Linked DNA regions of Ovis aries. Each later gene encodes a partner of the first gene's protein in a complex. Links are inferred from orthologs where the notes say so. Each region holds a gene or a part of one and is shown on either strand. Other genes may lie near its edges.

Evidence for each region.
Region 2: POLR2L (region 1) and ERCC2 share a complex: the UniProt entries of both Homo sapiens proteins name them as parts of the TBP-based Pol II pre-initiation complex. The link is inferred for Ovis aries from reciprocal best matches to the Homo sapiens genes POLR2L and ERCC2.

The regions. Positions count from the first base shown.
Region 1 is NC_056074.1:46,914,951-46,918,612, forward strand, and holds POLR2L (DNA-directed RNA polymerases I, II, and III subunit RPABC5), read left to right. Parts: upstream 1-1,367; 5' UTR 1,368-1,401; coding exon 1,402-1,496; intron 1,497-2,879; coding exon 2,880-2,988; 3' UTR 2,989-3,137; downstream 3,138-3,662. UniProt on the Homo sapiens protein: DNA-dependent RNA polymerase catalyzes the transcription of DNA into RNA using the four ribonucleoside triphosphates as substrates.
Region 2 is NC_056067.1:52,781,771-52,785,921, reverse strand, and holds the start of ERCC2 (general transcription and DNA repair factor IIH helicase subunit XPD), read left to right. Parts: upstream 1-1,337; 5' UTR 1,338-1,370; coding exon 1,371-1,375; intron 1,376-1,679; coding exon 1,680-1,779; intron 1,780-3,465; exon of another isoform or gene 3,466-3,537; intron 3,538-3,713; coding exon 3,714-3,791; intron 3,792-3,873; coding exon 3,874-3,936; intron 3,937-4,117; coding exon 4,118-4,151. UniProt on the Homo sapiens protein: ATP-dependent 5'-3' DNA helicase. Component of the general transcription and DNA repair factor IIH (TFIIH) core complex, not absolutely essential for minimal transcription in vitro.

The DNA of each region.
Region 1 (3,662 bases):
GGGAAGGGGGGGCAGGCAGGGCAGGGAAGTGGCTTCTGCTCGTGGCTCCGCACGTGGCAGGGTGGGGGACGGCGAACCCCGCTGGGGAGGGTGGCCAGAGCCAAACTCCAGACGCAGAAGTGCTGGCCAGCCTCCCTGGGACCTCCACTCCCAGCCCCTTGACTTACAGTCAGAGTCCACCACCCACCCCAGGTGGACTCTGAGCTAAAGCCTGGGACCCAACATGGTGGGCCCACCCCCACCCCCCACCCCAACCAGAGACCCTGACGCCCCAGGCCAGCAAATATGAGGAGACCCTGCCTAGGTGCCTAGCCCACCCTCCTCAGCCCAAAGCTCGCCTCCTCCAGGGAGCCTTCCTTGCTTCTCAGTGCACACAGCCCTCTCCCAGCCGCCAGTCACAGGATCAGGGGGCTCACCTCTCGCCACTTCCCGAGACACAGCCCCCGCCCCCGCCCCCCCCCCGCTCCCTTTAAACCCCCACCGCCTCCAGCTCCCACAGCTTCTGTCCCGCACGGACGGGTGTCTGTCCGGCTCCCTCTTTAAGTCTCAGCTCAAAAGACACCCCGAGTGCCCTCCCGACCCTCAGAGCCGGCGCTCCCGGGTCACTGGCGCCCGCCCCTGCCGAGCGCGGACTGGAGCCTGGGCCGCCAGCGCCTCCCCCGGGAAGAAGGCAGGAGGGGGGGCCAAGCTGACCGCGGCGACGGCCGGAGCCCCCACCGGCTGGGTCGCCCCGCGCCGCCCGCCTGCAGGGATACGGGCAGCTACCGGGCCGGGACCGTTACTGTGCAGGCGACCCGGCCAGGCGGCGACCTCGAGGGTCCCTCGGACTCTGCGCAGAGACCCCCGAGTGCCCGCGGGCAGCGGCCCCAGGCGGAGAGGCCGCCCCCTGCCCGGCCCCTCCGGCCGCTCTCCGCGCCCCAGACCCGGCTCGCAACTTGTTGCTGAAACGCGGCTCGCGCTCTGCGCTCGGGGCCCCAGTTCGCGCGGGCCCGGCCGCACTCCGCCCGCGGCCCGGCAGGGGCGCTGTACCTGCCTCGCGCCCGCCGCGCGGAGTCGGTCGGCCGGGCACGAGGAACGCGAACGCCGCCGCCGAGCCCTTGCGGCCCCGCGCGGACGCCGTAGGCCGGGACGTACCAAGGCGCGGGCGGGGGGCTCCCGCCGGGCCCCGCCCCCGGCCCCGGCCCCCGGGCCCCGGCCCCCGGGCCCGCGCCCGCCGGAGGAGCCGCCGTCGCGGCGGGAGGCGGATGCCGGCGGCGCCGGGGCCGCGGGGAGGTGCACGGGGCGGGCCGGGCCGGCACCCCCGCGCCATGGGCGCGCCATGGGCACGCCGGGGCGGAAGCGCCGGGGGATCCGGGCGTCGGGCCGCCGGGCCGCGAAGCTTCTAGCTCCCGCGCCGCCGCCATGATCATCCCCGTTCGCTGCTTCACGTGTGGCAAGATCGTCGGCAACAAGTGGGAGGCCTACCTGGGCCTGCTGCAGGCCGAGTACACCGAGGGGTGAGGGGCGCGCTCCCGGCCGCCGGCCTGCGGGGCCCGGGGCGGGGAGGGTTTCCCAGCCTGCGCGGCCCGGGGCGAGGACAGGGGCGCCCGGCCTAAGGGGAGGGTTTCCCAGCCTGCGGGGCCCGGGGCGGCGGGACGGGGGCCCGGCCTGCGGGGCCCGGGGCGAGGACAGGGGCGCCCGGCCTAAGGGGAGGGTTTCCCAGCCTGCGGGGCTCGGAGCGAGGACACGGGGGCCCCGGCCTGCGGGGCCCGGGGCAGGGTCAAGGGGGCCTAGCCTGCGGCGTCGGCGTCTCGGGCGGCTGTCGAGGATCCAGGCTTGAGGGGTTGGGGTCTTGAGGCGGCAGTCAGGGGTCTTGGTCTCCAGGTCAGGAGCAAGGGACGTTCATCAGATCCCAGGTGACGCCGGCAAGGCTTTTATTCCCGGAGCCTTTGCCAGCCCTGTTCTCCAGACCTGCTCTCAGGAAAGCGTCTCCCACCCCCCAGTTCAGGCAGACGAGGGGAGCTAGTTGTCAAGCGCTGGTGTCTGGGGACTCGAGTATTCTGGCTCCACGCCTCCACCGCAGATAGGCCCCTGGCCACCTCTGTCCGTCAGCTCCCTAAGTTCTCCCTGCTATTAGGCCCACCCCGTGTCCTCAAAGACACTGATGCTGGGCAAGATGGAAGGCGAAAGGAGAAAGGAGCGGCAGAGGAGGACGCGGTTAGGTAGCATCAGCAGCTCAATGGACAGGAGTTCAAGCAAACTCTGGGAGATAGAGGAGAACATGAGCTCAGCGAGCTGCAGTCCATGGCGTCACGGACACGACCGAGCGGCTGAACAACAAACCGTGTCTTGCAGACTCACGGGCTTTTTTAGTACATAGGACAAGCTTCTGATCACATAGCCGTCATCATCAGGCTTTTGTGGGGTCCCTTTTCCGTGTTTGCCCCTTGGCACTGCAGTTACCGCCTTACTTGTCTGAGTTTACCCTAGACAAGAGTCTGACTTTGGTCCTTGTGTGGACAGCCCCATCCTTATCAAAGTGTGAACCTCTGGGACCTGGAGTGTGGTAGCAGGTGAGGTTCTCCGTGTAGCTGTGTTGGGTGGATAGGGAAGCAACGGACGGCCGTAGTATCTGCACCAGGCTTCGAGGAGGCTGCTGGAATGACCACAGTGCGAGTGAATGCTGGCAGCCTGCCCCAGACTCCTCCCCGAGATGCCCCAGGCCAGGGCTGCCCAAGCGGCCGCCCCTTTTATGGGTGCCACGCTGGTGCCCACACACAGGAGGCTTTGAGGGTGACTGGGGCCGTGTCTCTGGGAGGTGAGGGGGGCTGCTCCCCCCGGGCGAGGCCCTCTGTCTGCCGGGAGGAGCAGGCTGCAGCCAGATCTCTCCCCACCTGCAGGGACGCCCTGGACGCGCTGGGCCTGAAGCGCTACTGCTGCCGCCGCATGCTGCTTGCCCACGTGGACCTGATCGAGAAGCTGCTCAACTACGCTCCCCTGGAGAAGTGAGCCCGCGATGCCGCAGGGGGCGTCTCACCCATGGCTTGTTCCCCTGGGGTGTGGGGCGCCGGAAGCCACGCCCGCCCACGGCTCTGTTGGCGTGGGTCTTCCTCCCTGGAAAGAACTGTCTAGTAAATGTTTCTGAGGACTGCCAGGAAGTCCTAACAGTTGGTCTGGGTTTGTGGGCTGCCCCGCCGGTTCCTGGGGTTCTACCTGGTGCCCGAGGCCCGCACGGCCCAGGAGGAGGGTGGGCCTTCCATACGGGAGTGCTCAGCACGGGGCTCCCTTCCTCTGTGGGCGCTTGGCCCCACAGAAGACACAGATGTCACGAGTGCTTGGGGTGGGGGCACCGGCGTCCCACAGCGCTGTTCTGGGTGCCCTTCAGCCGAGAACAGAGGTCCCCACTTCCTCCCCCGGTATCTAATGCTCCAGACTTTCTGCGCTCTGAGTGGAGTGCTCCCTGTGGTCACAGCTGCGCATCCTGAGGTTGCTGCCGCCAGAAGCTTCCAGGCTCCACCCACAGCAGGCAGGCAGCTCCACTCCACCCCTGAGACCCCACAGCAGGTGGGAGGTGCCCTGAGGCAGCTCTCCTGGGCATCTGTTCTGAATGGGCTCTCAGTGCCCAGGCGTTAAATGCGTTGCCCTGAAAACCAACTAGAGAGCTGTCTGGCGGGGGCGGGGGT
Region 2 (4,151 bases), on another chromosome or scaffold:
TGTTTGCCCTCTGAAATGGAAGTAACAACAGATACAGGGTAAATAGCCTGTCTTTGTCTCTTGTAAACACCTTAAGATAATAATCATGGCAAGGACAAAGAGGGGCAAAACACTGTTTGAGTAAAGGATTAAGGGCTCTCCGCTCCCCTCCCTCACCCTTTCTGGGACATGGGAGACACACCACGACGGCAGAAAGGCTCCCGGTGTGTCAAAAGTCGGGGTGGGGGGTGGGGCGGTAATTCCAGGCCATAATGCGGCTTGCTGGTCCCAGAAGACTTCACCTCCAGATTCATCTTGGCTGAGGGTTGAGTGGGCACCTCAGGGGAGGGAGGGAGGACAAAGCAAGATGACTGGCCTGAAGGAAGACCAAGATCTGGAAAACTGTCCCCTTACAACAGATTTAAACTTCCTAAAGGTGTAACCCCAGAGTTTGCCCCTGCGTCTTTCCACATGTATTCTTCTTTTCCAATAAACTTTTTACTTTTCTCTTTACCTTCTGCCTCCTCCCCCGAATTTTTTCTTAACGCGGCAGGCAACGACTGGGGATCCAGGTCCTAGCCTCTGGCCTCTGAGATCCAGAGGTTAAGTTCCTGATCAGGAACTAAGCTCTTGTTCCCAGCTTCTGCTCGCTTCTGCTTGCTGCAAACTGCGGTTACTACTGCGTGCATCGGAAATCAGGAAGCGCAAATACACGGGACATGATAATTGGGAGCTCCTGCCTGCAGAATCCCATGGACAGAGGAGCCTGGTGGGTTACAGTGCACGGAGTCGCGAAGAGTCCGATACGACTGAGCGACTATGTACAGCACAGGGCATCCCTGGTGGCTCAGATGGTAAAGAATCCGCCTGCAATGCGGGAGACCTAGATTCGGCCCCTGGGTTGCGAAGATTCCCAGGAAGCCCTCTATGATCCCCCAGGCTCTGACCCTCTCTGGGTTCTCCCATTGTAGACTTGGTTACTTTATTGAAGTTGGGGAGAAAGGGAGGTGTACCTCTTAAAACCAAGAATATAATAGAATAAAATTGAGTATGCATCCCCTGCTCAGGTAATCTGGACAGACGCAGGAAGATCGAATCCCAGCGAATGAGATCGATTCTCTCAGTTCTCTTCCATCAGCGTTTCCTTCTCGGTACTCGGCGATCCTCCTCGATGCCTCCGGCCACACCTACCCCGGAACCCGCCTCCCGCAATTGCCGTGCGCACGCGCACTGTCTCCTGACGTCACTTCAATGGGGAGTGACGGGCAGGTTCAGCCAATGGCGTCGCGAAGAAGGTGGGGCAGCGCCTCGAGGATACCCTGAGGAGCCTGTCTTTCCTGAATATTCATAAGGGAGGCGGGCCGACGCCGCTCCAAACCGCGACCGGCGCCATGAAGTGAGAGGGGGGGTCTCGGGTTCGCGGCTCGCGAGCGGGAGTGGGGGTCCGGAAGATGCGGGGACGCGTGGTCAGGCCTCGGGTCCCGGCGGAGCGAAGGGAGGCTGCCGCGCTGGGGTGGGGATAGCTGCGGGGAGGGCCAGCGAGGGAATGCCGAAGGGACCTGGAGGCTGCTAGAGAACCGGGGGGATGTGCGGGACGGGCCAGCCGGCCGGAACCGCTCTCGGCCCGGCGGCAGGGGAGTCTGGGGGCTGGAGAGGGGGCTGAGGGGACGGGGGACTGATCCGGCAGCCCCCGCCGCCAGGCTCAACGTGGACGGGCTGCTGGTCTACTTCCCCTACGACTACATCTACCCGGAGCAGTTCTCGTACATGCTGGAGCTGAAACGCACGCTGGATGCCAAGGTGGGTGGGCCGGGCCCGCCGCTGCCCCCCTGAGAGGTGGGGCTGATCAACACGCGCCTTTAAGACTGAGATTGCAGCGGTCCCCAACCTTTTTGGCACCAAAGACCAGTTTTGGAGAAGTCAATTTGCGGACGGAGGGATTCAAACTCATTTTTGTGCATTTTATTTCTATTATTATTACATCGGGTCTATCAGACATTCGATCATTAGGCCTCATATCATCAGGTATTAGATCCTGGAGGCTGGGGACCTCTGGTCTAGAGTTTAGAAATCTGAGGTCCTTGTGATAGCCCCCGCTGCCAAACTTGGTATCTCAAATAATAGTAATTAAAAATAGCATCAGCTGACCTTTATCAAAGGCTGAACTGCTCCGTGGTAGGCTTAGGCATATAGAGACTCAGGAATTGGCTACCCACGGTAGTGTGTCCTTGGGTAAATCATCACTTAATCTCCCCTCTGCAGTCTTCACCTTGGTGAATAGCCATAGTAATAGTACCTACCTCAGCTTAATATGGGGCTTCCCAGGTGGCTCAGATGGTAAAGAATCTACCTGCAATGCAAGAGGCCGGGATTCAATCCCTGGGTGGGGAAGATCCCCTGGAGAAGAGAAAGGCAACCCACTCCAGTATTCTTGCCTGGAGAATTCCATGGGCAGAGGAGCTTGGAAGGTTACAGTCCATGGGGTTGCAAAGACTTGGACAGGACTGAGTGACTAACACTTTCACTACTTTCACTTTCATATTAGTGAGGGCTGCAGGGGTTAATTCACTAAGTAAGGCAGAAGTTCTCAACTGGGGACCATTTTGACCCCCGGAGGACATTCAGCAAAGTGTGGAGACATTCCCAGTTGTCAGTACTAGTGGAGGAGGGGTGCAACTGGTGTCTAGTATGTAGAGGCCACATTTGCTGCTGCAGTGGGGGACAGACCCCACAATCATATGGTATCCGGCCTCCAAATGTCAAGAGAGTTGAGGCTGAGATACTCTGATGTAAGACACTTAGTAATAGTGCCAGGCACAGAGTTAAGTGCTGTGCTAGGTTAAAAGAGAGGGCTCCTACATATCAGATAGAACTTCCCTGGTAGTGCAGACGGTAAAGAATCTGCCTGCAATGCAGGAGATTCCTGGGTTGGGAAGATCCTCTGGAGAAGGGCATGGCAACCCACTCCAGTATTCTTGCCTGGAGAACCCTGTGGACAGAGGAGCCTTACAGGCTATAGTCCTATAGTCATGGGGTCGCAAAGGGACATGACTGAAGGGACTTAGCATACATACAAATCAGATATTGTACTAAATATTTAGCCTGCAGTTTGTCCCTAATCGTCATAGTCCTGCGATGAGGAAGAGCTTCTTAGACCCCCCCAACCCCCTTTTTTTTTTTTTTTTTTGCTGCACTGCATGGCTTGCATGATCATAGTTCCCTGACCAGGGTTTGAACCTGGGCCCTCGGTAGTGAAGGCTCACAGTCTTCACCACTGTAGGCCAATTTTTAGAGACAGAGTCCTCAGAGAGGTTGAAAGGTCTTGCCTAAGACCACTCAACCAGAGTGGCAAAGTGAAAGTGAAGTTGCTCAGTCGTGTCCGACTCTTTGCGACCCCATGGACTGTAGCCCACCAGGCTCCTCAGTCCATGGAATTTTCCACACAACATTACTGGAGTGGGTTGCCATTTCCTTCTCCAGCGGATCTTCCCAACCCAGGGATTGAACCTGGGTCTCCCGCACGGCAGGCAGACGCTTTACCGTCTGAGCCACCAGGGAGATTCCAGAGTGGCAAAAGTGGGGTTCAAATCCACTGCCCCTGAGGCCTAGATTTCTAACTGCTATGTTGTGTCCTGTTATTCCAAGCTGGTTTCATTCTGGGGGAAGGGTCCCAGAGTTTGTGTCCCTGGAGTTTTGAGCGCCTGTGTCGTGTCCCTCCTGCCCACCACAAACAGGGTCATGGAGTCCTGGAGATGCCCTCAGGCACTGGGAAGACAGTGTCCCTGTTGGCCCTGATCATGGCGTACCAGCGGGTAAGTGACTCCCTGGGCCCGAGGAGGGGGCAGCAGGAGGAGGCTGGATGGGGGCCGAGGCTGAGCCCATGGTTGTCGGCAGGCGTATCCCCTGGAGGTGACTAAACTCATCTACTGCTCGAGGACTGTGCCTGAGATTGAGAAGGTGAGCCCTGGGCTATCCCAGGCCCCCCACCCTCACTCTCCCCTAACCCATCTGTCCCCCTGGTGGTTGCCACCATAGCTTTGAGCCCAGTGGGAAGCTGGGGAAGGGGCTAGAACCTGCTTGGACAGGGGCTTGGACTTTCACTGAGGCCAGTTCCCCCCTCCCTCATCATCTGTAACAGGTGATTGAAGAACTTCGAAAGTTACTCAGCTTCT